4 linked regions of the Saccharomyces cerevisiae S288C genome follow. The gene in region 1 interacts genetically with each later gene. Each region holds a gene or a part of one and is shown in the gene's direction. Other genes may lie near its edges.

Region 1 (5,859 bases):
ACGCGACTGCAGCTGACTCCAGTGAAAAGCTTGCTGAACATGGAGCTAAGAAACAAAAAATATAAATGTCCACAGAGTGTTCCGTTTGATAACTTCCAACAAAAAAACCTGAGAATATATATATTTACATTTATATACTTAGTTGCAATTAGCTTTGTGCCCACTGAGTGCGGTTGCTAAATGTCTTATAGTCCCAAAGGATGCAAAAATCTGGTGTAGTATTCGCCCTTTGGGAGTGGCCTTAAACCCATATACGACTCTTGCTTTCCCATTCGAGTCATATTTCAAACCAATAGACCAAATACGGCTGAGATATGAATCTTCTTTAATGCGCCTCTCCACGTAATTAAACTGTTCAACGTCTCCAATCTCATAAAAGAAGGAGTCTGTCTTCGGCAGCCAATAATTTACTAGATTTATATAGCATTCAAGCTCACCCACTAGCGCTAGCCTTGGTTCGAACAGCTTTACGGAAGTTTTAACATCTCTATTGAAGTCACGCTTTCGAATGTAGGGGGGGTTACCGGTTAATATATCTATATGGGATGGATATTCATCGCTAGCTTTTGAGGACAATATATTATGTTGCACGAGCTTACCACCACTCACCTTGTTTTTCAGCATATTTTCTTTAACCAACTTAATTGCTCTTGTTGACACGTCAATGGCAGTGAACGTGCAATTTGCTATACCATGACTCAAAGCGAGAGCAATACACCCTGTTCCTGTAAACGTATCACAAATATGCAGTGGTATAGTATGCCTTGAAAGCATAGAGTTGTTTAGAGCTCTTATTATGGCCATCACCCATTCCTCGGTTTCCCATCTTGGTATAAGAACACCAGGCTTGCAAACTATGTCCAAGGCCCCAAACGGTTGCGATCTTAAGATGTACTGCAATGGGACGTGTTTGTATCTCTGTAAGCAAGCCCAGCGGATTGATTTATCCGGAGGCAGCTCTTCGGTGAGCCATTTGTACTCGAGTTTCGCTTGCTCGAGAGTCCTACATTCTGGAAGCAAAAGATGCAAACCAGGTCGTATTCTCGAAGCTTTTCTTATCAATGATGTAGATATTCGAGGCATATGTTCTTTCTAACCGTTTCTTTTTCGTTCCTACCATTCAACTATCGCTCCTTGTCTACGAGTTAAGGGGAAGAGAGTGCAGAGTTTCTAAAAGCACTTGAAAACGTAACAAGACATTGACCGTAGAGAGTCGGCAAAATAAAGTCGTTTATACACGTTTGAGTTGTGTGTATTCAACTATGGAATACATTGTTATAATGAGTATGTTGGTATAAAATAAGATGTGAAGTCGCTGGTTTGAGCACGTGATATACACCTGACCTATAATATTTCGTACAAAATTATAGAAGGCCATCGAAAAAATAGAAAATTTTTTCATTTCTTTTTCAAGAAATGAAAAGGCAATAGAGCATCGGCAGGTATGGAAAGTATTTAACTTGCAGATCAATCCACGTACTTATAAAACGTGTAAAAACTTGCTCTACGTTTATATGTTGGTTAGGTAGTTCTTGTTTGATAAGGTGTGTAGTTCGTTTTTATAAATCAAAGTCACAAAAAGTCCTTTTCCCCATATATATTAGGCCCGAACAAGCGTCTTATTTGATAACTGTTACGTATTTATTTTTTTGTTATTTGTTACCATATCTTTTGATAGAACATAATTAAAAATTATCCAAACTGAATTCTACATCTTCCAACAACAATAATAAACGTCCAAAGATGGTTAAAGAAACTAAGTTTTACGATATTCTAGGTGTTCCAGTAACTGCCACTGATGTCGAAATTAAGAAAGCTTATAGAAAATGCGCCTTAAAATACCATCCAGATAAGAATCCAAGTGAGGAAGCTGCAGAAAAGTTCAAAGAAGCTTCAGCAGCCTATGAAATTTTATCAGATCCTGAAAAGAGAGATATATATGACCAATTTGGTGAAGATGGTCTAAGTGGTGCTGGTGGCGCTGGCGGATTCCCAGGTGGTGGATTCGGTTTTGGTGACGATATCTTTTCCCAATTCTTTGGTGCTGGTGGCGCACAAAGACCAAGAGGTCCCCAAAGAGGTAAAGATATCAAGCATGAAATTTCTGCCTCACTTGAAGAATTATATAAGGGTAGGACAGCTAAGTTAGCCCTTAACAAACAGATCCTATGTAAAGAATGTGAAGGTCGTGGTGGTAAGAAAGGCGCCGTCAAGAAGTGTACCAGCTGTAATGGTCAAGGTATTAAATTTGTAACAAGACAAATGGGTCCAATGATCCAAAGATTCCAAACAGAGTGTGATGTCTGTCACGGTACTGGTGATATCATTGATCCTAAGGATCGTTGTAAATCTTGTAACGGTAAGAAAGTTGAAAACGAAAGGAAGATCCTAGAAGTCCATGTCGAACCAGGTATGAAAGATGGTCAAAGAATCGTTTTCAAAGGTGAAGCTGACCAAGCCCCAGATGTCATTCCAGGTGATGTTGTCTTCATAGTTTCTGAGAGACCACACAAGAGCTTCAAGAGAGATGGTGATGATTTAGTATATGAGGCTGAAATTGATCTATTGACTGCTATCGCTGGTGGTGAATTTGCATTGGAACATGTTTCTGGTGATTGGTTAAAGGTCGGTATTGTTCCAGGTGAAGTTATTGCCCCAGGTATGCGTAAGGTCATCGAAGGTAAAGGTATGCCAATTCCAAAATACGGTGGCTATGGTAATTTAATCATCAAATTTACTATCAAGTTCCCAGAAAACCATTTCACATCAGAAGAAAACTTGAAGAAGTTAGAAGAAATTTTGCCTCCAAGAATTGTCCCAGCCATTCCAAAGAAAGCTACTGTGGACGAATGTGTACTCGCAGACTTTGACCCAGCCAAATACAACAGAACACGGGCCTCCAGGGGTGGTGCAAACTATGATTCCGATGAAGAAGAACAAGGTGGCGAAGGTGTTCAATGTGCATCTCAATGATTTTCTTGATAAAAAAAGATCAACTTATTCACGATTCATTTATTCATCATACTTTTCACTTCAAAATACAGTTTTGTAGCTATACATATGTAAAGTAATAATGGTAGAAAATGCAGTTTACCAAAAAAAGTTCTAATTATGACGAAATCTTAAGGAAAGAGTAAAGCAGGGATTATATGCTGAAATTTCCACTGTATATATTTGCCACAGAAAACCATTTTTTGTATTAGGTATATTTAGTGCACCTTTAACATGTCAATAATTCAACGGAAAATTAACGAAGTAAATAATACATTAATTAGGAAAAATTTACATGAAAGTCTATAAGCTGTTTATAAAAAAAATATGCAGGGATAAGTGTCTATCAAATTGAAGAATGCCAATTAATTATGATTATCGTTCTGGTCTCTTTTTGTTCCCTTTTTGGCTTTGACTGCCAAGGTGTTTAACCAAGACTGTCTTTGTTGTTTCAATAATCTATCCTCCCTCCACTTCATACCATATTTCATCGGAATAAACATTAAGAAGTTGAAGAAAAATACCAGCGCACATAAAAATGTAAAAGTACCACCTACAGTCATCGCAGCTTTCATTTTGGCAAAGCAACCCATGAAGATGGTACTCAAACTGCACCTAACAAAGTTGAAACAACTACTTGCTGTAGATGATTTCGTTGGGTACAAATCGACCAATAACGTAGTTGATGTTGATAATGTACTCATAGCACAGTATGAACAGACAAATGAAGTAATTAAAATAGATTCGATCCTCCAGCCCTTATCTATACTCCAACCAAATAAAAGATAGGCTACGACGGCCAAGAAATTTTGGGGCAGAAGACAAACTAAACGGACTTTGAACATATTAATCTCTGCGTCTTGTGGAATCAACCCGTTAGCTTTGTCTTGCTCGAATTTCTTGATCTTTCTCTTGAAATACATGTCAATAATTCTACCTGTGAAGAAGGAACCCATTAAACCGCCAATACCACCGGGTAGATAACACACACCAATAATGACCAAATGATAGTTGTATGGCGCCACTGATAAACCGGATGAAATAGAGGAAAGCATTAACGTCCACATAGCAAATAAGAGCCCTGATGGAAATAAAGACAGAATAATTTCTGGCAATACAAGGATCTTCCCGGCGGATGACAAATCTAGTTTCGGAATGGTGGGATCTAATGTCTCATAATCAGGATTATCGTACTTGAATCTCCTTCTAACTGGGCCCAGTAGGAAAATCGGCGCTCTGTTGATGAATCTTTTAGGCTTAATGGAAAGGTTACCTGCAATGGTTCGCTTTGTTTCTGGCAAAATAAGAAAGGCAATTAGAAAACAACTTCCACAACCAATGGTCAAAAACCAAAAGATAGCTCTCCAATCCCACCTTGCAGTCAGGACGGCACCAATAAGACTACCAAAACATTGACCCAGTAAAACAAACCCTGAGGTGGCGCCAACAAATGTACCTCTTTCATGCTTCAAAGTGAAGTCCCCGACAACACCAGAACTGATTGCAATTGTGGGGGAAATACCAATACTCTGAATACACCTCAAGAAGATAATAACACCGTATGATGGAGCACATGCTAGCCCGATGGATGCAATAACGTATATCAGCATACCTGCTAAAATTATAGGTCTCCGTCCAAAGCAATCCGCCAGACCACCGCTAACTGTGGGAGATATACCTTGAAACAACAGATACACAACCACAGTAACGTTAACCATATTTTCATCCACATTAAATTGCTTTTCCAACTGCCTCAAAGCGGGATAATAGATCGGTGATCCCAATGAAGACCAAAAGCCACACATTGTTAGAATTGCAACCATTCCCCACTTCTGACCGTAACTTAGTAAAGTATATGGCGCTTTTGTCTCTGCAGTTATCTGTTGGGTTGGATCAACTTTATCATCACTGGAGTGAGAAGAAGTCTCAGAGTCTAAATCGCCTTCTATTTCCCTTGTGGTAGTCTTGGATAGAGTCCCGTGACTGTTGATATAAGCGCCTTCGAAATTTAGTTTTTCACTTTTCGTTTGACCATCTGGTTTTGTGTATTCTCTCGTCAGATGCTGCTCATTGTGAGTAGGATACATCTCAATATCTTCTGTGTATATACTGTTACTTCGTGACATTGCTGATTCGACTTTCTGAATCTAGCTTGGATTCTCAAAAAAATAAATTTATCTCCGTATAAATGCTAACTTTGTAAGCCTGGAAAAATCCATAATTTTATATAGAACGACAATATTAGCAATAAAAAGTTAGTAAAAAGTGTATAACCTTGACAGTGTTAAGCGTTATATAATATTGAGTATGATCAACTGTATCCTCGATGAGGGCAGAGAAGTTTCTTTTTCCTTGCCCTAAGGTGCCCGCAACTTCCCGGTGACGAGAAAAAGAAACGTTGGAACGGCTTCTCGTCTGAAGAAAACAATGCAGGCCGGGCATTTCACGGAACAAAAACGGTTCCATCAAGCCGGGTGATTCATAAATTATCCGATACCGGAACAAATCGGTGAGAGATTTTCCGATGGAGGACGGGTAACGAGCCGGTATTTACCGATCTATGGAGTTTCCGAGTCATTACGGGTCCTTTTGTTTTCGTGTATGCTCCCTTCCCCGTAAGAAGTATACGTAGGAAGTGCGGTCTGCGCTGGACAGTATAAAACGGAAACAGGAGTCATCGAGGGGCTCCGGATTTTTTTTTCTTTTTTTAGCATTTAGCCTAATTGCACATTGTGAATAGATTGCCGTAGTAGAAAAAAGCCTTAGGAGTAGATAGCATACGGCAACAGAACTACAAAAAAAAAAAAAAGAGATTTGATGTCTTTTTTTTTTTTTTGGGTGGTTTTTAGGACAATGAAAGAAGAGGTG
Region 2 (6,272 bases), on another chromosome or scaffold:
AATATTATTATTCTTATGAGTGATGCCCTTATGTTTTTTTTGCGGTCTAGTATATGTAAATATAGACACACACATATATATATATTTATGTGTATAATCCTAGCTAATAAACATTTTTAGATTGTTATTAGTATAATTTTTTCCACTTACTTTGTTCTCCGGGAGAGAAAAAGTTGTTTATTTTGTAGTAATTTTGTGCACATATTATATATACAAATATTACACAATATTTTCAATACTTATGGCATAATCCATTGCTTTTTCGATAATGTTTGTCTTTTGGTCTTCTTCATGCATCATTTCATCTTCGTAATCAGCTTTCTCCTTTGATTGGTTATTGAAGTAAACTTTCGAGTTGACAATAGGCCAGTTTCTCTCTAGTGCAAATTTTTCAGTTTCTTTTTCGTTGTTGAAAAAGAGCAAAGCCTTTATGTTGGAGAGAGGGAGAAAGTCGTAGGATAGCTCGGTATTTTTAGCAATTTCGTCTCTTATAGCTGATTTTAGGATATCGGTAAAAGAGTCGAATTCTGATATATTCTGCGACCCAGATTGCAGAAGATCCCATGCTTTCTGGTACGACCCTTCCATGAGCCATCTGTCTAGTTTGATAGGGTAAGACAAAAGTGAATCGTCTTCCAAGTTCTTGATATGTTTATCTAGATACTGCAATTCCGAGTGAAACTTGGTTGTGTTATTCTGAGACAATAAGTTCAACAAATACAGACTTATCAGCTTCGATTTCTTGTCAGATTCAGATAATTTATGATTGTTGCTAAAGTAGTAAGGCTTCAATTGGTTGAAGTAATTCTCGAAGCTGTCAAAATTGAAAGTTTGGATGCTAGCAAGGGCACCTACTTCCAGGATCCTTTTAGTAATCATCAAATCATTCAAATAGATGTCATTTTGAATGGATAAGTCAGGTATTAAAAGGTTATTCTTGATAAGTTCGATCTTGATAGGGGGCAAGAGCTTCTCACACGCGGCATAATCGCCGTTTTCAAAGGCTATGCTTAACGACTTGGTCAATTCGGCTAACGAGGGCATTACGATGGCTTCTTATCTCACTTCAATAGTACTTTCCACCGGTTATACTTCCGGCTTTTCCCTATTAATACAAGCTACAATTTCAATGGGTGGCAAATAATGTGTAGAATAGAAAATAAGCCGACAGGGTAATAAAGAAAATTTTTAGAAAAAAAAGGTTAGATGGCTTATTTAAGTTACAGGCTAGCGAAAAAAGGAACTTCAGGGCAAGTAAAGTGTTTGATTGGGCACTAGCATGGCTTATAAAGGCGAGCAATTGTCGAAACTAATTAATGTTGTACGGACTATTGCTGTCTTCTCGTGGTAAATGCGTGTTCCAGGTCGAATACTACTTGCACACAGGCGAGCGGGGCCCCATAAAAGTGTTGCCGATTTGTTAAGTTGTCTTTTCGGTTTTTCTACTCTGTTATTCCTTACTTCCCTTTTTAAGAACTCTTTTTATCCTTCATTTAGGATCTTGCACGTTTCCGCCTCATCACTTGAATTAAAACATGTCTCTGTCAGTAAACCTTGGCGTTTCTATTGTTCTTCATAGTTCAACTTTTATTATTACCCGCCCTGCGCGTTTACATTTTTCCAGCAACAGCCAGCGAAAAATTAGAAAATCTGGTTGTTGACACCTCAAGAACAAGGGCAATTAGCCTCAGCGTCGAATATAGATCATATTAGAATACCTATAGCTCCATCAAAAGAAATACACAATGGTGGTTTTGGCTGCTTCTATCACTACGCGTCAGGGGAAACCTCTCTTGTCCAGGCAATTCAAAGATCTGTCCAAGGATCGAGTCCTAGAGTTGCTGTCCAATTTCCAGAACCTAGTCTCCGAGATCTCGTCAGACCACACATTTGTCGAGGACAAGCACGTCCGCTACGTGTATAGGCCCTTTGATAACTACTACATTATTCTTATCACAAACCGCCAGTCCAATATTATCAAGGATTTGGCCACATTAAATCTGTTTTCACAGACGATCAACTCCTACTTGTCTAGTTTCCAAGACCAAGAGATTTTTCACAATGCCTTTGAGATCTTGTCCTCGTTCGACGAAATCGTGTCAATGGGCGGGTACAAAGAGAACTTGTCCTTTACTCAAGTGCAAACATACTTGTCTATGGAGTCGCACGAAGAAAGAATCCAGGAAATTATTGAGCGTAATAAAGAGATCGAAGCTACTGAGGAGAGGAAGCGCCGTGCTAAGGAAATTGCTAGAAAAGAACATGAAAGGAAACACGGGTTTATGTCTTCAAATGGCGATTACGACGGCGCCAATAGGTTCATGGGAAGTAAAGATCCTAACGTTACAAACGCCATCAACAGTTACTACTCCCATGCTTCTCCTGCAGCACAACAGTCTTATCTACAAAGTTCCCATGCCGCTGCTGCTGAGGTGGCCCCAGTGGCCTCCCCAATGGCTACGTCTCAGCGTGCGGGACATTCTGCTACTGGCGGTATGAAATTGGGTGGTGGTGCCGGAAGAAGAGCGGGTGCCGCACCACGGCCAAGTGCAATTTCTTCAGCCTCTTCTGGCACTCCACCTCCTCCGGAGGAGGATGTCCCAGAGAACAATGGTATTTTGATCTCTATCAAGGAGGTAATCAATGCAGAATTCTCCAGAGATGGTACCATTCACTCTTCTGAATTGAAAGGTGTTTTAGAACTAAGAATTAATGACCATGACTTATCTCACTCGAACCTAAAACTAGCTGATTCTATTGACGTTCGCGATAAATCCTTCCAGTTTAAGACCCATCCAAACATAGATAAACAATCGTTCCTATCCACTAAACTTATCTCCCTGCGTGATAAATCTAAGGCTTTCCCAGCCAACGACCAAAGCCTGGGTGTTCTAAGATGGCGTAAAGTCGCTCCCGCAGAAGATGACTCATTAATTCCATTAACTCTAACTACATGGGTTTCCCCCTCCGAATCACAACAGGGCTTTGATGTCATTATTGAGTATGAGAGCGTCCTGGAAACAGAACTCGCTGATGTGATCTTCACCATTCCAGTTTTCCCTCAGGAGCCAGTAGACATAAATACAGAGTCTTCTACATGCTCTGACGCTGAAGTTGTCAACATGGACCAAGAAATGGGAACCTCCATTAAGATTAGCAAAATTGCTGCCAACGATGCAGGTGCGCTAGCATTCACTATCGAAGCTCCATATGAAGATGCATTGTACCCAATGACCGTTTCCTTCCAAGAGTCCACGAGGGATAAATTAGCTAAGAGTTTCACCGGTATGGCCATACAATCTGTTGTCATGGCCAATGACCACGATCAAGAGCTCCCTTACGACGTCATCACCTCTTTGAAATCAGATGAATATCTTGTCCAATAGTACGTTACATTCACATATAAAATACTTAAGTTATATACACAAACTAAATAAATAAAAATCGAGGTATCTTTTCTTTCGTCCTTCTATATATATAGTTTAACTTACTCTTATTCTTTATTATTTTTCCTTTTAGGGTTACCCGTCAATCCTTTTTATTAAAGATGTTCCAGCTTCTTGGTTTAGAATTTGCCACCTTAAATACGTACCCACATAGTAAAGTACAGCTAAGTTAAGAAAGGGGATAAGCAGCAGGAATCCTTCATCTTCCGCCGAAAACAACATAAAAACCCACACGAATGAATCACGATCCTTTCAGTTGGGGCAGGCCCGCAGACTCTACTTATGGTGCTTACAATACACAAATTGCGAACGCAGGCGCCTCTCCCATGGTTAATACACAGCAACCAATAGTAACAGGTACTTCCGTCATATCAATGAAATATGATAATGGGGTTATCATTGCAGCAGATAATTTAGGTTCATATGGCTCTCTTCTAAGATTCAATGGCGTGGAGAGGCTTATTCCCGTGGGTGATAACACCGTTGTGGGCATTTCAGGTGATATTTCTGATATGCAACACATTGAGAGATTATTGAAAGATCTAGTCACTGAAAATGCGTATGACAATCCTCTAGCGGATGCTGAAGAAGCGCTCGAACCCAGCTATATTTTTGAATATCTAGCTACCGTCATGTACCAGCGAAGATCAAAGATGAATCCACTTTGGAATGCCATCATTGTTGCTGGTGTACAGTCTAATGGTGATCAATTCCTAAGATACGTAAATCTTCTAGGTGTTACGTATTCGTCTCCCACCTTGGCCACAGGTTTTGGGGCACACATGGCAAACCCACTGTTAAGGAAAGTTGTAGATCGAGAATCTGATATTCCAAAGACCACTGTACAGGTTGCTGAAGAGGCGATCGTAAATGCAATGAGAGTTCTTTATTATAGAGATGCCCGTTCTTCTAGAAACTTCTCACTGGCCATAATTGATAAGAACACAGGTTTAACTTTCAAGAAAAACTTGCAAGTTGAAAACATGAAATGGGACTTCGCCAAGGATATTAAAGGCTACGGTACTCAAAAAATTTAGAAGAGTTTTATCCCACCTTCATTAAATACTCATTTTATTTTTATTTTTCAATTCATAATATCATCACTCTTCTCTCTTCCTAAGTAACTACGTTTTTACATAGATATAATGATATGTGTAAAGAAACTATAAAATAACAAAAAAAAATCATAATATTACTGCATCTATCCTTCACCATGCACCACCGCTATTTATGCTCTCCAATTCATGCTCGTTAATAGGTTTGTACCGAAACCTAGCAGGTAGCTCGAAAATGGAAGCAAGCTCATCTTTTTGCAATGGCCTGTTAACGAATACAGAGGTCTTTGACGAGCTGAGACCAGCATTAGCGCTATGCTTTATTGGCACTACACGGAATGGTTTATAATTTTCCATGAATTTACTCACTGGAATACACTCTTTGCTGCCAGGTAACATTCCGTTGGTAGCGCAAGGATGAACAACGACCTCAGTTGCATGCTTCACTAAGGGATGCCTTGTACCGACGAATTTTATCATCGGCTCATATGCACTCTTTGCTAATCTTATAGGTGTAGCAATCATTTCCCTGTCTTCTTGTACTTTTATCTTACTCTTATTATCGGTTAAAAACCTGGGGAAGTACTCCTTAATGGTTTGCTTTAAAGAATTCAATGCGGCTAGAAATGAAAAAGACTTTTAAGATCACTGAAACACTGCAATCTGGCTAAAATATTAGTCTTCACTATCGTCTTTTTCTCCTTTGTTGATGCGAAAGATGAATTTACATATTCGAGTCCCTTAGTCATATTATTGTACTTTTAATGCAATCTTGAGGGGAGCCAATCAACGAGTGGTTTTACTTGCACGTGACCAAGAATGGTAATAACGGTGAAATATATGACTAAAAACCTTGATAACTAAATATATCATTAATTTATTTTTAATGCCGTCTAGAAGGGTGTATGAATATCTATGTAGAAGTATGACGATGAATAATTACATAACGAACGAAAATCTCTGTTAATGAAAATATAACTCCAAATAAAATGACAAGAATAAACCACCATGTAACACGAGCCATGTTTCTTTCAGCAACAGAGTCAACGCATATATCAAAGAATTCCAAGAAAACTTTGCAACGATCATTTAATACTTGTACTCTTTGGTCAATTTCTAAATACTCCCTCATTGCCACGTACAGTGGATGCAAACTTGGTTCGAACGACCAAAAAAACTCGGGTGTATCCAATATGGTGGATGAAAGGTTAACATCCACTCTCAATTTAAAGAGCTTCCCTGATTTTTTCAAAAGCTGTTCCCTTTTTAACCCAAGGGTACCATATAATGCTAGTCTTTTAGGTAGTTTTGTGACTGATATTAAAATCGGCGAAATTCTGGATTCAAACCTTGATAATTTCGAAGATTGCGCAATCGCATGTGATAGTGTCAGCTCGATAATGTGGTCACCTGAACGTAATGTGACAATATCATTGAAAATTCTCGGTCTCTCGGTATCTCTGTCATATTCGAAATGGAATTGTTCAGTTTCAATATCTTGTTCATCCAGCGGCCGGATCATTAAATTCTTATAATCTGCAAATGTTATATCACCAAGAATATTTTTCTCTTGAATTTCAGTAAAGTTCCAAAAAACAATAACGCCATAGTGAAAAATGAAAATTTCTGCATGTCTATCATTGCCTTCATGGTCGTTGTCCCTATGCATTTTATATACACGATCAAAATCATTCTGTGATGAAGATGGTGGCGATGGCGTAGATATTGATGATGGCGAAGCTGGTGAACGAGAGGACTGTACATACTGATC
Region 3 (5,585 bases), on another chromosome or scaffold:
AGATTTTAAATTGTTTTGTTATTTTGCTTTCGAATGATAAGAATCTTTGTACAAAGGCATTAACTGAAGATATATTAACTGTTTCATTTAGGAAGAACATGGATGCGAAAATAATTGCAATGAGAGCATATGAAGAAAACCAACTGAGATTTGCTAATCTGCGTGACTCTACAGTAAATAATTTCGATCAGAATGTCACATCATATGCTCATATTCCTGGAATAGAAACGCCCCCTTTGCAATTCGATAAAGTCTCACAAAATGTGTTTGAGCAAGTAAAAGAAACTATTTTCTTTGCTATTGACCACACTTTAAGAAAGGAATATGGTGAAGATATTGGATTCATAGATTACAACCCAGATAAATTAACTACCATAGAAAACGCTTCGAATTACATTTATTTGTTTTGGGTGTCTGTATTTTCGGAACTTTTCACTTGTTCAAAGATAAAGAAGAATGAGTGGAAGAGCTTACCAACAGTTTTGAAATCAAAACCGACAAATCTGAATGACTTAAGAACATTTGAACAATTTTGGGAGACTGTATTGCATTTTTTATTCAGCAAATTCACAAATGAGGAGAAACAATCTTTAGAGAAACAGATTCATGAATGGAAAACATCTATCAATGCTATATCAACCTGAAATGTTTTGCTTAGTGTAAATCTATCAGATTTATTGAAGCCACTCACACAACTCATAAGCTTGCGATATGCATTTGCATATATTTTTAATGTCATATAAATAGTTCCCTATAGTTATATACAAACACACAGACACGTTAGGAGAACAGTAATTATAATAATAACTATAATAACAAAAAAGTAAACACGGTAAATTGAAATAAATTATTCGATCAAAAAATATTTTCATATCATTTTTCTTTTTGCTCGTTTTTTGAGAAATCTTTCATTTCAAAAGATTCCTTCACTTCATGATCTTCAACGACAAATTGCCTTAGTTTATCCTTTATTGCAGTTCTTGTTTCACCAACTGCACTTTGAACAACATTAACAACAGGGCCCCAGAGGCCGAACTTATGAATAACAAAAAAGGTTGCACCTAAGATCAAGGTAAGGGTTACAAATAAGGGGTTTCTTATGACAGCCACGAATTCGTTCCACCCTAATACGGCTAGCAAAACGTAAATCCAAGGTGGAATATGCGTTCTAGTAGTGATGATAGACCTTTTCGAATCCAGAACAGTAATGTTAATCTGCCTGCGGAATTGATCTAAAACATTCTCCTTTTGCAATTCAGTCAAGATGTGTGCGAAACGACGGGAATGAAACACACCTTCGTTGTCCCGATATATTTCGTTGTCCTCGCCGCTTTCCTCTTCAGCCATTGGTACATCAGGAATAATTTCAACGTTATCTGAGGTTACAGCAAGTGAAAGAACCTCAAAAACTTCCAGGGCATGTTCTTTTGCAACACGGAATGCCCCATCAATCTCTTCTTCTGTTTTCCACAATCTTGGAGAACCTTCAGCATCATATCTGAATACATCTTCAAACCTGTCTCTCAATATACTAACAATCGTATCTATTTTCAGGTAGTCATGTACTGTGGTATCCAAGGTTCTCCACGCCAATATTCTAATATTTTTGTAAATCTTCGCGTTTTCGCTCTCTGAAAGTCCAATTTTAAAATCATATTTATCTTTTTCCACTTGATACGCAGATATATTGTCTTTGATAGTAGATTCAAAATCGTTCATTATATCATCCCAAACCTTTTTGGATGGATGTGATAGTAAATGAATCACATGATCCTTTAATTCGGGAACCAGATTTTTTTTAATACGACCGATTTTTGCTTTCAATTCAGCATCACGTAGTTGCTTGATTCTTTCTTCAATATCGTCGGAAAATTTGCAGGTAATCTCTTCGTTTGATATTAGTAGCCCTAACTTTTTGAAGGTCTCCATTGATTCGTTAAATTCTTTCTCAATCTTACTCTTACCTGCCGCCACACTTTCTACAAAAGAGGTAGTAGCTTTGTCTCTAGAAGACACCTCCAATTTTAAATCGTCCCATAACTTTTCCATTAATGATTCCAAGAACTCATTAATTGTACCTGAAATATGTGAATTCAGCTTTGTATTTAAAGCTTCTCGTTTCTCCATATAAACGTTTCTTGCATAGCGCGATGCTTGTTCATCATATTTTGTCAGACATTCTTCTTTTAGCTTCACTAGCTGAGATGTTAAAGATCCCAAGTTACCCTTTAAAGGAGCAATCGATTCATCATATTTTGAAATGAACTCTTCTAGAGCTTCATTAGATATTTCTTCAGTTTTAAATCTAGCAACCAGAATTTGCTGAGTTGGAAGATCTAAATCCTTGTTACGTTCAATTTGATCCCAACAATTTTCTGCGTACATAGTCCAACCATCTAATGGCAACCTATGGTGATATTGAGGTTTGAAATAATAGTTTTCCGTACCTTTCATCACAAACGAATCACCTAATTTCTTGACATCCTGGGTAAATTTGTCTTCTTGCAACAACTTATGAGCTAGCCCGACAAACTTTAAATCGAAATAATCATACAGGCTAGAACCCTCACAACCAGCAGGTTTACTTAACTCTGTCCATATTTTTTCCAATTCTCTCGTAACGGAATCACTCAAACTCGAGAGTGGAGTCACACCTACATGATCTCTAATTACAAAAAGTAACAGCACCTTGTGGTCATTATCATTCTTGCCAAATAGGGAAAGGTTGACCTCAAAAACTGTTTTTAATAAAGCCATATTATTACCTTGATATAGCCCAATTTGCTGCTCCCACATATTAACTATAAGAACTTCAGATACTGCAATGGCAAATAAAGCGGCTTTTCTCTCAAAATCTTGGTCTTCACCTCTTTCTGAACCATCGGAGCCCTCAACATCTAGCACAAAAATATCTGGACGATCATTATCGATTTCAATAGTTGTATTAACCTGTTTAGTGTGAGCCAACCAAATGCCTTTAGTAGTCTGCTGCCTTTTCACCTGAGCATCCATGGTATCAAAGTTGGTGTTAAACAAGACGTTAAGTAAAGTCGATTTACCACTCGATTGAGAACCGAAAACTGAGATGACATGGTAATCTAGACCAACATCACGATTTCCAATACATTGTTGAAAATATTGTAATGCACTTTGATGAAATTCCTTCTCTTCATCTATCAACTGAATAGCAGGTCTATCAGCCATGACTAAAGTATGTCAACCGTCGAGTGAGTTAGTAGCCCGTTTGTTGAAATAAGTCAATAATTATTTACCATCAAAATACACCTTTCAGTATTTTGTTCGTTTTGTCGCTCTTCGTTAAGGTAACAAACAATGGGAAAAAAAGTGAAAGGAAAGTCAAAAAAATGAAATAATAACATGTGCGGTAAAACAACCAAGTAAACATCATAAAGGGACATAAATAATAATAACAAGCTATGGTTCCTGCTGAATCTAATGCTGTACAAGCGAAACTCGCTAAAACCTTACAAAGATTCGAAAATAAGATCAAAGCTGGAGATTATTACGAAGCGCATCAAACGTTGAGAACTATTGCTAATAGATATGTTAGAAGTAAATCATACGAGCATGCCATAGAACTAATTAGTCAAGGGGCCCTTTCATTTTTAAAGGCGAAGCAGGGCGGTTCAGGCACGGATTTGATCTTCTATCTTTTAGAAGTTTATGATTTAGCGGAAGTTAAAGTTGATGACATCTCAGTTGCTAGATTGGTTAGATTAATAGCCGAATTGGATCCTAGCGAGCCCAATTTAAAGGACGTTATTACTGGTATGAACAATTGGTCTATCAAATTTAGTGAATACAAATTTGGAGATCCTTACTTGCACAACACCATTGGTAGCAAACTATTAGAGGGAGATTTCGTTTATGAAGCTGAGAGATATTTTATGTTAGGTACACATGATTCAATGATCAAATATGTCGATTTACTATGGGACTGGTTATGCCAAGTTGATGATATCGAAGATAGCACGGTGGCTGAGTTCTTCAGCAGATTGGTTTTCAACTATTTATTCATCTCTAACATATCATTTGCACATGAATCAAAAGACATTTTTTTGGAAAGATTTATTGAGAAATTTCACCCCAAGTACGAGAAAATTGATAAAAATGGTTATGAAATAGTTTTTTTTGAAGATTATTCCGACCTAAATTTTTTGCAATTGTTGCTAATTACCTGTCAGACTAAGGATAAGAGCTATTTCTTGAATTTAAAGAACCATTATTTAGATTTTTCTCAAGCTTACAAAAGTGAGTTAGAATTTTTGGGCCAGGAATATTTCAATATTGTTGCTCCTAAACAAACGAATTTCCTACAAGACATGATGTCGGGATTCCTGGGCGGATCGAAGTGAAAAGAGCATATTTGCGAAGGAATAGATAAATATGTTTGCGGTGGCTTGACGACCATGACGTATATACATATATATGTATGTGCTAGCTATTTGTCGTCTTTAATGATAGCAGACCTATTAAGGGCCTCCAACAATTCAGGCCTCTTGGCGTCTATCAAGTTTTGTTTAGCTTCTGTATAAGAGTATAGCTTTCTATGTCTTTTGTGACATTCCGGAAATTTATCAAGGAGATTTTCAATCTCTAATTCATAAAAATGAAATTCGGTTCTTGGCGGGTGCTTTGCTACTTCTGAATCTTTTCGAGAGTTCTCGAATTGCTTAATGTCTTTGTTCCAGTCCTTAGGGGGTCTCATGTCTTCAACTGTACCCAAATTGGCGACAATTTTACCTATGCAACCAGCTTCCTCCCAAGTTTCTCGTTGGGCAGTCGTCTCGTAATTAGGCTCGTCTTTCTCAACGCCACCTTTGGGGACAATCCATCTTTTCTTGTGTGCAGAAGAAGTAATCATGAGAACTTGCTTCTTGTCGGGTGTTAAACATATGCAGCCAGCAACTAATCTTGCACCTGTAACGGGTGAGTAAACCTGGTTTTCTCTTCCTTCACGTGCTGTCTCAGAACGTACTGGACCATGATTATCCGCGGTTTTGCCCATTTTGTGTTTCCCCACGCTCTTATACTCCTACGTACTCACTGTTCCTGACCTTTCAGGCGTTATTTCAGTGTGATTTCATGTCTTAAAGTTGAGGCTTCCCTTTACACTATTTACCTCCGCGAGACGTTTGAGAATTAAGCCGCACGTGCTCGCCGCAGATGTTCTTTCAACGACAAGAGAACACCATGCTCCTACTATTTACGCATTATTTACACAGTATACCTTTCTGATGATGAAGTTTGAAGGTTTAAATTCTGGGCAGTAGCTGTTTTTACGGTTGTCTCAATATTTCTCATTCTGCTTTATAATCACGGGAGTATGACAGCATTACCAATCTCTATCAAGATGAAGAAAGATGAGCATGATCGTTTTAAGCTCACATGGAAGCTGTAGTTATTACCAGTATATCCTCTTTATATATAGCGAATGTAGATTTCTGCCAGTATCATACTGGCAGAAATCATAGTGAACGGAGTTAAATCCGCGGAAATTAGAAAAACGTTAAAAGGTTCCATGCCATATTACTAATGGGGTAGAGGCTGATATACGGGGAAAA
Region 4 (6,652 bases), on another chromosome or scaffold:
CCAAGAGAGCTAGTTTTGCGTTAACCTTTTGAACATTTCTTCGTAAGTGCCTAACATGCTTGTGGTTTAGCATTATATGTAGGTTCAAAACATTCTGTATTTCCCCTTTGGCACATTCGTACTTCAACCGCTGGGTATTTTCGCTATCCTTGTCCGGATTACTGGTGGCGGTGTCCATTTTGAAGGGCTCATCCATGTTGTTTTCCAAATCCTGAGGAGACTTTGGCGTGGTAACCTGATAAACGTTCGTCATCTTAGAGGATGACGATGAGGAAGAATTAGGATTATGATGCTGGTGCTGCAGTTTATCTTGGGCGGGACTCATCATGAGGAGATGGACATATACACAAAGTGTTGGATGAGAAGCGTGAGCCCGAAGAGTAGTGAAATGCCGAAGATCAGGGTGTTTATATGAACGAACACTAGCTTACAAATGTGGAAACGGGATCCTTCAGAGGTAAAATGCGCCTTCAGTGGCCAAAGTTCATCACCTTCCTTAGCACGGGTTCTTGCTGTCTGCTCTTCCTGCTTCTTCCCTGTTCGTTTTTCCCTCTTCCTACGGCTATGCACAGTGGCAAATGCACTGCATGTGTTTCTGTGGCGGGTATCCCTCAATTGCGGGTAACAATAAGTAACTCAACATCACGAACGACGTTTATGTTTGCTGTTACCACAAAGGGTAAAACGTCAATAAAAGCAAGCAATGTTATTCGTGCCAGAGAACTATATCTGGCGTACGTCTTATATATAACACAAGCAAGGGCAAATACGTGGTTAGTGGTGTAAAAACTGAAGGGATTAATTTACATACAACTAGATCCATCTTTCTCAAAAATGACTTCAGTATCGCCCTCGCCACCTGCCAGTCGATCGGGCTCAATGTGCTCCGACTTACCGTCCTCTTTGCAGACTGAGAAACTGGCACATATTATAGGTCTTGATGCCGACGATGAAGTTCTCCGGCGCGTAACCAAGCAGTTGAGCAGATCTAGGAGAATTGCTTGTCTGACTGGGGCAGGCATTTCGTGCAACGCGGGCATTCCTGACTTTCGCTCTTCTGATGGGCTCTACGACCTAGTGAAAAAGGATTGTTCACAGTATTGGTCTATCAAGTCCGGCAGGGAAATGTTTGATATTTCGCTATTTAGAGATGACTTCAAAATATCCATTTTTGCTAAATTTATGGAGAGGCTCTATTCAAATGTTCAATTGGCAAAGCCGACTAAGACGCACAAGTTCATTGCGCATCTAAAAGATAGGAACAAACTGCTGCGCTGTTACACGCAAAACATCGATGGGCTCGAAGAAAGCATAGGACTTACTTTATCAAATAGGAAATTACCGCTTACCTCATTTAGTTCACATTGGAAAAATCTGGATGTCGTTCAGTTGCACGGCGACCTGAAAACTCTTTCGTGTACAAAGTGCTTCCAGACTTTTCCCTGGAGCAGGTACTGGTCTCGTTGTCTAAGAAGAGGTGAGTTACCATTGTGTCCGGATTGCGAAGCACTTATCAACAAGAGATTGAATGAAGGAAAGCGAACTCTTGGTTCTAATGTGGGTATTCTAAGACCTAATATCGTCCTGTATGGTGAAAACCATCCATCCTGTGAAATTATTACGCAAGGCCTAAATCTTGACATAATTAAAGGCAATCCTGATTTTTTGATCATCATGGGTACAAGTTTGAAAGTTGATGGTGTGAAACAACTGGTAAAAAAATTAAGTAAGAAAATTCACGATCGTGGCGGCCTGATCATTCTCGTAAACAAGACACCCATTGGCGAATCCTCTTGGCACGGCATTATAGACTACCAAATCCACTCAGATTGTGATAATTGGGTCACATTTCTTGAATCCCAAATACCAGATTTCTTCAAGACGCAAGATCAAATTAAGAAGTTAAGACAGTTAAAAAGGGAGGCGAGCGACTTGAGAAAGCAAATGAAGGCCCAAAAAGACTCAATCGGAACCCCCCCAACAACCCCTCTACGAACTGCCCAGGGGATTGATATTCAAGGAAACAACGAATTGAATACAAAAATAAAGTCGTTAAACACAGTTAAGAGAAAAATACTGTCACCAGAAAACTCCAGTGAGGAAGACGAAGAGGAAAACTTGGATACAAGAAAACGCGCTAAGATACGACCAACTTTCGGTGACAACCAAGCCTCATAAACTTAACTATTAAAATTGAGTTAACGATAAATAATCGAGGCAGACACCCCTTTGCATAATATATCATCCGTTTAATTTATCTTCCATTTATATACTCATACATATACCAACGGAGATCTGCATGTCCGAGAATACAAAAAATAGTGAACGAAAAAAATATCACATCGCGAAAGAAAAGCTATCTGATATCTGCAACACGAAAACACAACAGTCGCGGCATGCAGATAGTACAAATTGAGCAGGCCCCAAAAGACTACATAAGCGACATCAAAATAATCCCTTCCAAGTCACTGCTTTTGATTACGTCTTGGGATGGCTCTTTAACAGTCTACAAATTCGACATTCAAGCAAAGAATGTTGACCTTTTACAATCGCTACGATATAAACATCCGTTATTGTGCTGCAATTTCATCGACAATACCGATCTGCAAATATACGTGGGAACTGTACAGGGTGAAATTCTAAAAGTTGATTTGATAGGTAGTCCCAGCTTCCAAGCTTTGACGAACAATGAAGCCAATTTGGGTATTTGCCGAATATGCAAATATGGAGACGATAAACTCATTGCCGCGTCATGGGATGGCCTGATAGAGGTTATCGACCCTCGCAATTATGGTGATGGAGTTATTGCTGTTAAAAATTTGAACTCTAATAACACAAAGGTGAAGAATAAGATATTTACTATGGATACAAACTCCTCTCGATTGATCGTTGGTATGAACAATAGTCAGGTTCAATGGTTTCGCCTGCCACTCTGTGAGGATGATAACGGAACAATTGAAGAATCAGGACTGAAGTACCAAATAAGAGATGTCGCTCTTTTACCGAAAGAACAAGAAGGTTATGCATGTAGCAGCATTGACGGGCGAGTTGCTGTGGAGTTTTTCGATGATCAGGGCGATGATTACAACTCAAGCAAAAGATTTGCATTTAGATGCCACCGTTTGAATTTAAAAGATACAAACTTAGCGTATCCAGTAAATTCTATTGAATTTTCCCCCCGTCATAAGTTCCTATACACGGCTGGCTCTGATGGCATAATTTCATGCTGGAACCTACAAACCCGCAAGAAAATAAAAAATTTCGCCAAATTTAACGAAGACAGCGTGGTTAAAATTGCTTGTTCGGACAATATTCTATGTCTGGCAACTTCTGATGATACTTTCAAGACAAACGCCGCAATTGACCAAACTATTGAACTAAACGCAAGTTCAATATACATAATATTTGACTATGAGAACTGATATCTTCGTGAAGATTCGTGTAGTATGATAGAACATTCCAGAAAAAAAATTCAGATTCATCGCTCTCTCTTCGCTTCTCCTCCTTTAAGGAATAAAGAAAAAATCACATACATAGATTAAGTAAATAGGATCTGCTAGAAAAATTATATATAGATCAATCATCTTATTAAGGTATCTTGTTTAAGCCCAAAAGTCTGCTCCCAAATTCCTCACTGTAGCTACTAAAACAACCTATACGCAAGAAAGATGTCATTGACAGCCGATGAATACAAACAACAAGGTAACGCTGCATTTACCGCTAAGGATTACGATAAAGCGATAGAGCTCTTCACTAAAGCTATTGAAGTTTCTGAAACTCCAAACCATGTTTTATATTCTAACAGGTCCGCCTGTTATACTTCTTTAAAGAAATTTAGTGACGCATTGAATGATGCTAATGAATGTGTCAAAATCAATCCATCTTGGTCTAAGGGTTATAATAGACTCGGTGCCGCCCACTTAGGTCTTGGCGATCTCGACGAAGCTGAAAGCAACTACAAAAAAGCCTTGGAGTTGGATGCCAGTAACAAGGCCGCCAAAGAAGGATTGGATCAGGTTCATCGTACCCAACAGGCAAGACAGGCACAGCCTGATTTAGGGTTGACACAGTTGTTTGCTGACCCAAATTTAATTGAAAATTTAAAGAAGAACCCAAAAACTAGCGAAATGATGAAGGACCCTCAATTAGTGGCTAAACTGATTGGGTACAAACAAAATCCGCAAGCTATTGGCCAAGATCTGTTTACTGATCCAAGATTAATGACCATCATGGCTACATTGATGGGGGTTGATTTAAACATGGATGATATAAACCAATCAAACTCCATGCCAAAGGAACCGGAAACCAGTAAAAGCACTGAACAAAAGAAAGATGCTGAACCACAAAGCGATTCCACTACGAGCAAGGAAAATTCCTCTAAAGCACCACAGAAAGAAGAAAGTAAGGAATCCGAGCCAATGGAAGTTGATGAAGATGACTCTAAAATTGAGGCCGACAAGGAAAAGGCCGAAGGTAACAAGTTTTACAAGGCACGTCAATTCGATGAAGCTATAGAGCACTACAACAAGGCGTGGGAACTGCATAAAGATATTACCTATTTAAACAACCGTGCTGCTGCTGAATACGAAAAAGGCGAATACGAGACAGCTATTTCTACCTTGAATGATGCTGTTGAGCAAGGTAGAGAAATGAGAGCGGATTACAAGGTCATTTCCAAATCATTTGCGCGTATTGGTAATGCCTATCACAAATTGGGTGACTTGAAGAAAACTATAGAATACTACCAAAAATCATTGACCGAACATCGTACTGCTGACATTTTGACCAAGTTAAGGAATGCTGAAAAAGAATTGAAGAAAGCTGAGGCGGAGGCGTATGTTAACCCTGAAAAGGCGGAGGAAGCCCGTCTTGAAGGTAAGGAATATTTTACCAAGAGTGATTGGCCGAATGCTGTTAAGGCTTACACTGAAATGATCAAAAGGGCACCTGAAGATGCTAGAGGATATTCTAATAGAGCTGCTGCACTAGCGAAGTTAATGTCTTTCCCTGAAGCTATCGCAGATTGTAACAAAGCCATTGAAAAAGATCCAAATTTCGTGAGAGCTTATATCAGAAAGGCCACCGCACAAATTGCTGTTAAAGAATATGCTTCCGCTTTGGAAACACTAGATGCGGCCAGAACCAAAGATGCTGAAGTGAATAATGGTTCTAGTGCAAGGGAAATTGATCAACTGTACTACAAGGCAAGCCAACAAAGATTCCAACCTGGTACCAGTAACGAAACCCCAGAAGAAACCTATCAAAGGGCCATGAAAGATCCTGAAGTGGCTGCGATCATGCAAGATCCTGTTATGCAAAGTATTTTGCAGCAGGCCCAACAGAATCCCGCTGCTTTACAAGAACACATGAAAAATCCAGAAGTATTCAAAAAGATTCAGACGTTGATCGCTGCTGGTATCATCCGGACTGGCCGCTAAAAATAATACGAAATATAACTTTATTATCTTGAATTCTTTTTTTACTGCTTTTTCATACATACGTACATATAATGATCTTCTCACTTAGTATACTAAATTTGTTTCATGCTATGGTTGATATTTGAGAAATCGGAACTTGAAGATAATAAGTTTCTTGGGCGAGGGAAAAAAACATCGGACCATCTTTCCTGTCGTTCTCCGGATCAGCCCTAGGAAATTTCTGGCCGGAACTCTCCTTAGAAACAAAAAAAATTACGTAATTGGCACAACTTTACGTCAACAATATTCATTACATCAGAATGCGAAAAAAAAAAAGCGAGAATATCTAAGCTCCATGACAACATTCGCTAAGCTGAAAAAATTAGGGAAATAAACTTTTCAAATTGCTATGATATAATTTCGTTTCTTACTATGTATTTTCTACGTATATTTTTACACTCTTGACTCTTTCCTTTTTAGTAATGTGCCTGCCATAAAAAAAGGGAGATGAAGGAAAGAAAATAAAAATGGTGAAAATTAAGCTTTGTTGATTACCTAATACAAGCTGCCTGAAACTAGAAACCATAAATTGTTTCCTATCTCGTAATATTTTCGCCACCTTAGGCATCAATTTTCTTTGGAGAAGGGGGGTTGCATCCCCCTGAAGAAGTGCTTGCCATGTGCTTTGAAAACTTTTAAGATGTTACTAGTACTAATAATTATTCATTATTTTATTCTTTTAATTTCGACTTTAATGATTCAATCATTTTTTTCAATTCACTGTTTTCTTTCATCAAGCCATCGAATAGTTTTGATTTTTCTTCGAGATTTTTGATGTATTTCTCACGACGCTGCCTAAACGCCTTTTGTGCGCTTCGATTTTGGGCAGCTCTCTTAGTATTTCTTAAAGGTTTGCCTGTTTTACCGATCAACTGGCCATCATTGTTATATCTTTCGCCTTCGTTAAAAACCTGCTCTGAAAGAGAAACGGAAACTCGACGTCTTTCCTCTGAAGGAAGGTTAGTCGTGGCACTATTTTTTCTCGTAGCTGGGGTACTATTTGAGGGAAAATATGAAGCTGCCGGTTGGCTAGTAAATGTAGATGCAGTAGTGTAGGAAGATTCAAATGGTGCGTGTGATGCAGTGGTGTATGGATTAGAATTGAAGTGACAGTTTAAATGAGTATCTGATAGTTGCGGTCTAAGCTGGTATGTGTTCAGTCTTGGTAAAGACGG

What was found.
Region 2: mutations in YDJ1 (region 1) and RET2 together harm fitness more than expected from each alone (negative genetic interaction), as found in Saccharomyces cerevisiae (4 studies listed by BioGRID).
Region 3: mutations in YDJ1 (region 1) and GET4 together harm fitness more than expected from each alone (negative genetic interaction), as found in Saccharomyces cerevisiae (4 studies listed by BioGRID, with this or other methods).
Region 4: mutations in YDJ1 (region 1) and STI1 together harm fitness more than expected from each alone (negative genetic interaction), as found in Saccharomyces cerevisiae (5 studies listed by BioGRID, with this or other methods).

Annotation. Positions count from the first base shown.
Region 1 is NC_001146.8:502,982-508,840, reverse strand, and holds YDJ1 (type I HSP40 co-chaperone YDJ1), read left to right. Parts: upstream 1-1,743; coding exon 1,744-2,973; downstream 2,974-5,859. Other genes in the region: tRNA 1-methyladenosine methyltransferase subunit GCD10, read left to right, coding at 1-65; MTQ1 (S-adenosylmethionine-dependent methyltransferase), read right to left, coding at 139-1,083; AQR1 (Aqr1p), read right to left, coding at 3,357-5,117. UniProt on the Saccharomyces cerevisiae protein: Probably involved in mitochondrial protein import. Is also required for efficient translocation of pre-pro-alpha-factor. Involved in heme regulation of HAP1, as a component of the high-molecular-weight (HMC) complex.
Region 2 is NC_001138.5:247,277-253,548, reverse strand, and holds RET2 (coatomer subunit delta), read left to right. Parts: upstream 1-1,745; coding exon 1,746-3,386; downstream 3,387-6,272. Other genes in the region: proteasome regulatory particle lid subunit RPN12, read right to left, coding at 220-1,044; PRE4 (proteasome core particle subunit beta 7), read left to right, coding at 3,683-4,483; alpha-ketoglutarate dehydrogenase subunit KGD4, read right to left, coding at 4,655-5,026; RMD8 (Rmd8p), read right to left, coding at 5,415-6,272. UniProt on the Saccharomyces cerevisiae protein: The coatomer is a cytosolic protein complex that binds to dilysine motifs and reversibly associates with Golgi non-clathrin-coated vesicles, which further mediate biosynthetic protein transport from the ER, via the Golgi up to the trans Golgi network.
Region 3 is NC_001147.6:642,185-647,769, reverse strand, and holds GET4 (protein GET4), read left to right. Parts: upstream 1-3,437; coding exon 3,438-4,376; downstream 4,377-5,585. Other genes in the region: SWT1 (mRNA-processing endoribonuclease), read left to right, coding at 1-644; dynamin-like GTPase SEY1, read right to left, coding at 874-3,204; polyphosphatase DDP1, read right to left, coding at 4,463-5,029. UniProt on the Saccharomyces cerevisiae protein: May play a role in insertion of tail-anchored proteins into the endoplasmic reticulum membrane.
Region 4 is NC_001147.6:377,385-384,036, forward strand, and holds STI1 (Hsp90 cochaperone STI1), read left to right. Parts: upstream 1-3,668; coding exon 3,669-5,438; downstream 5,439-6,652. Other genes in the region: AHC1 (Ahc1p), read right to left, coding at 1-328; NAD-dependent histone deacetylase HST3, read left to right, coding at 835-2,178; BUB3 (Bub3p), read left to right, coding at 2,397-3,422; CIN5 (Cin5p), read right to left, coding at 6,149-6,652. UniProt on the Saccharomyces cerevisiae protein: May play a role in mediating the heat shock response of some HSP70 genes. It is required for optimal growth of yeast cells at both low and high temperature.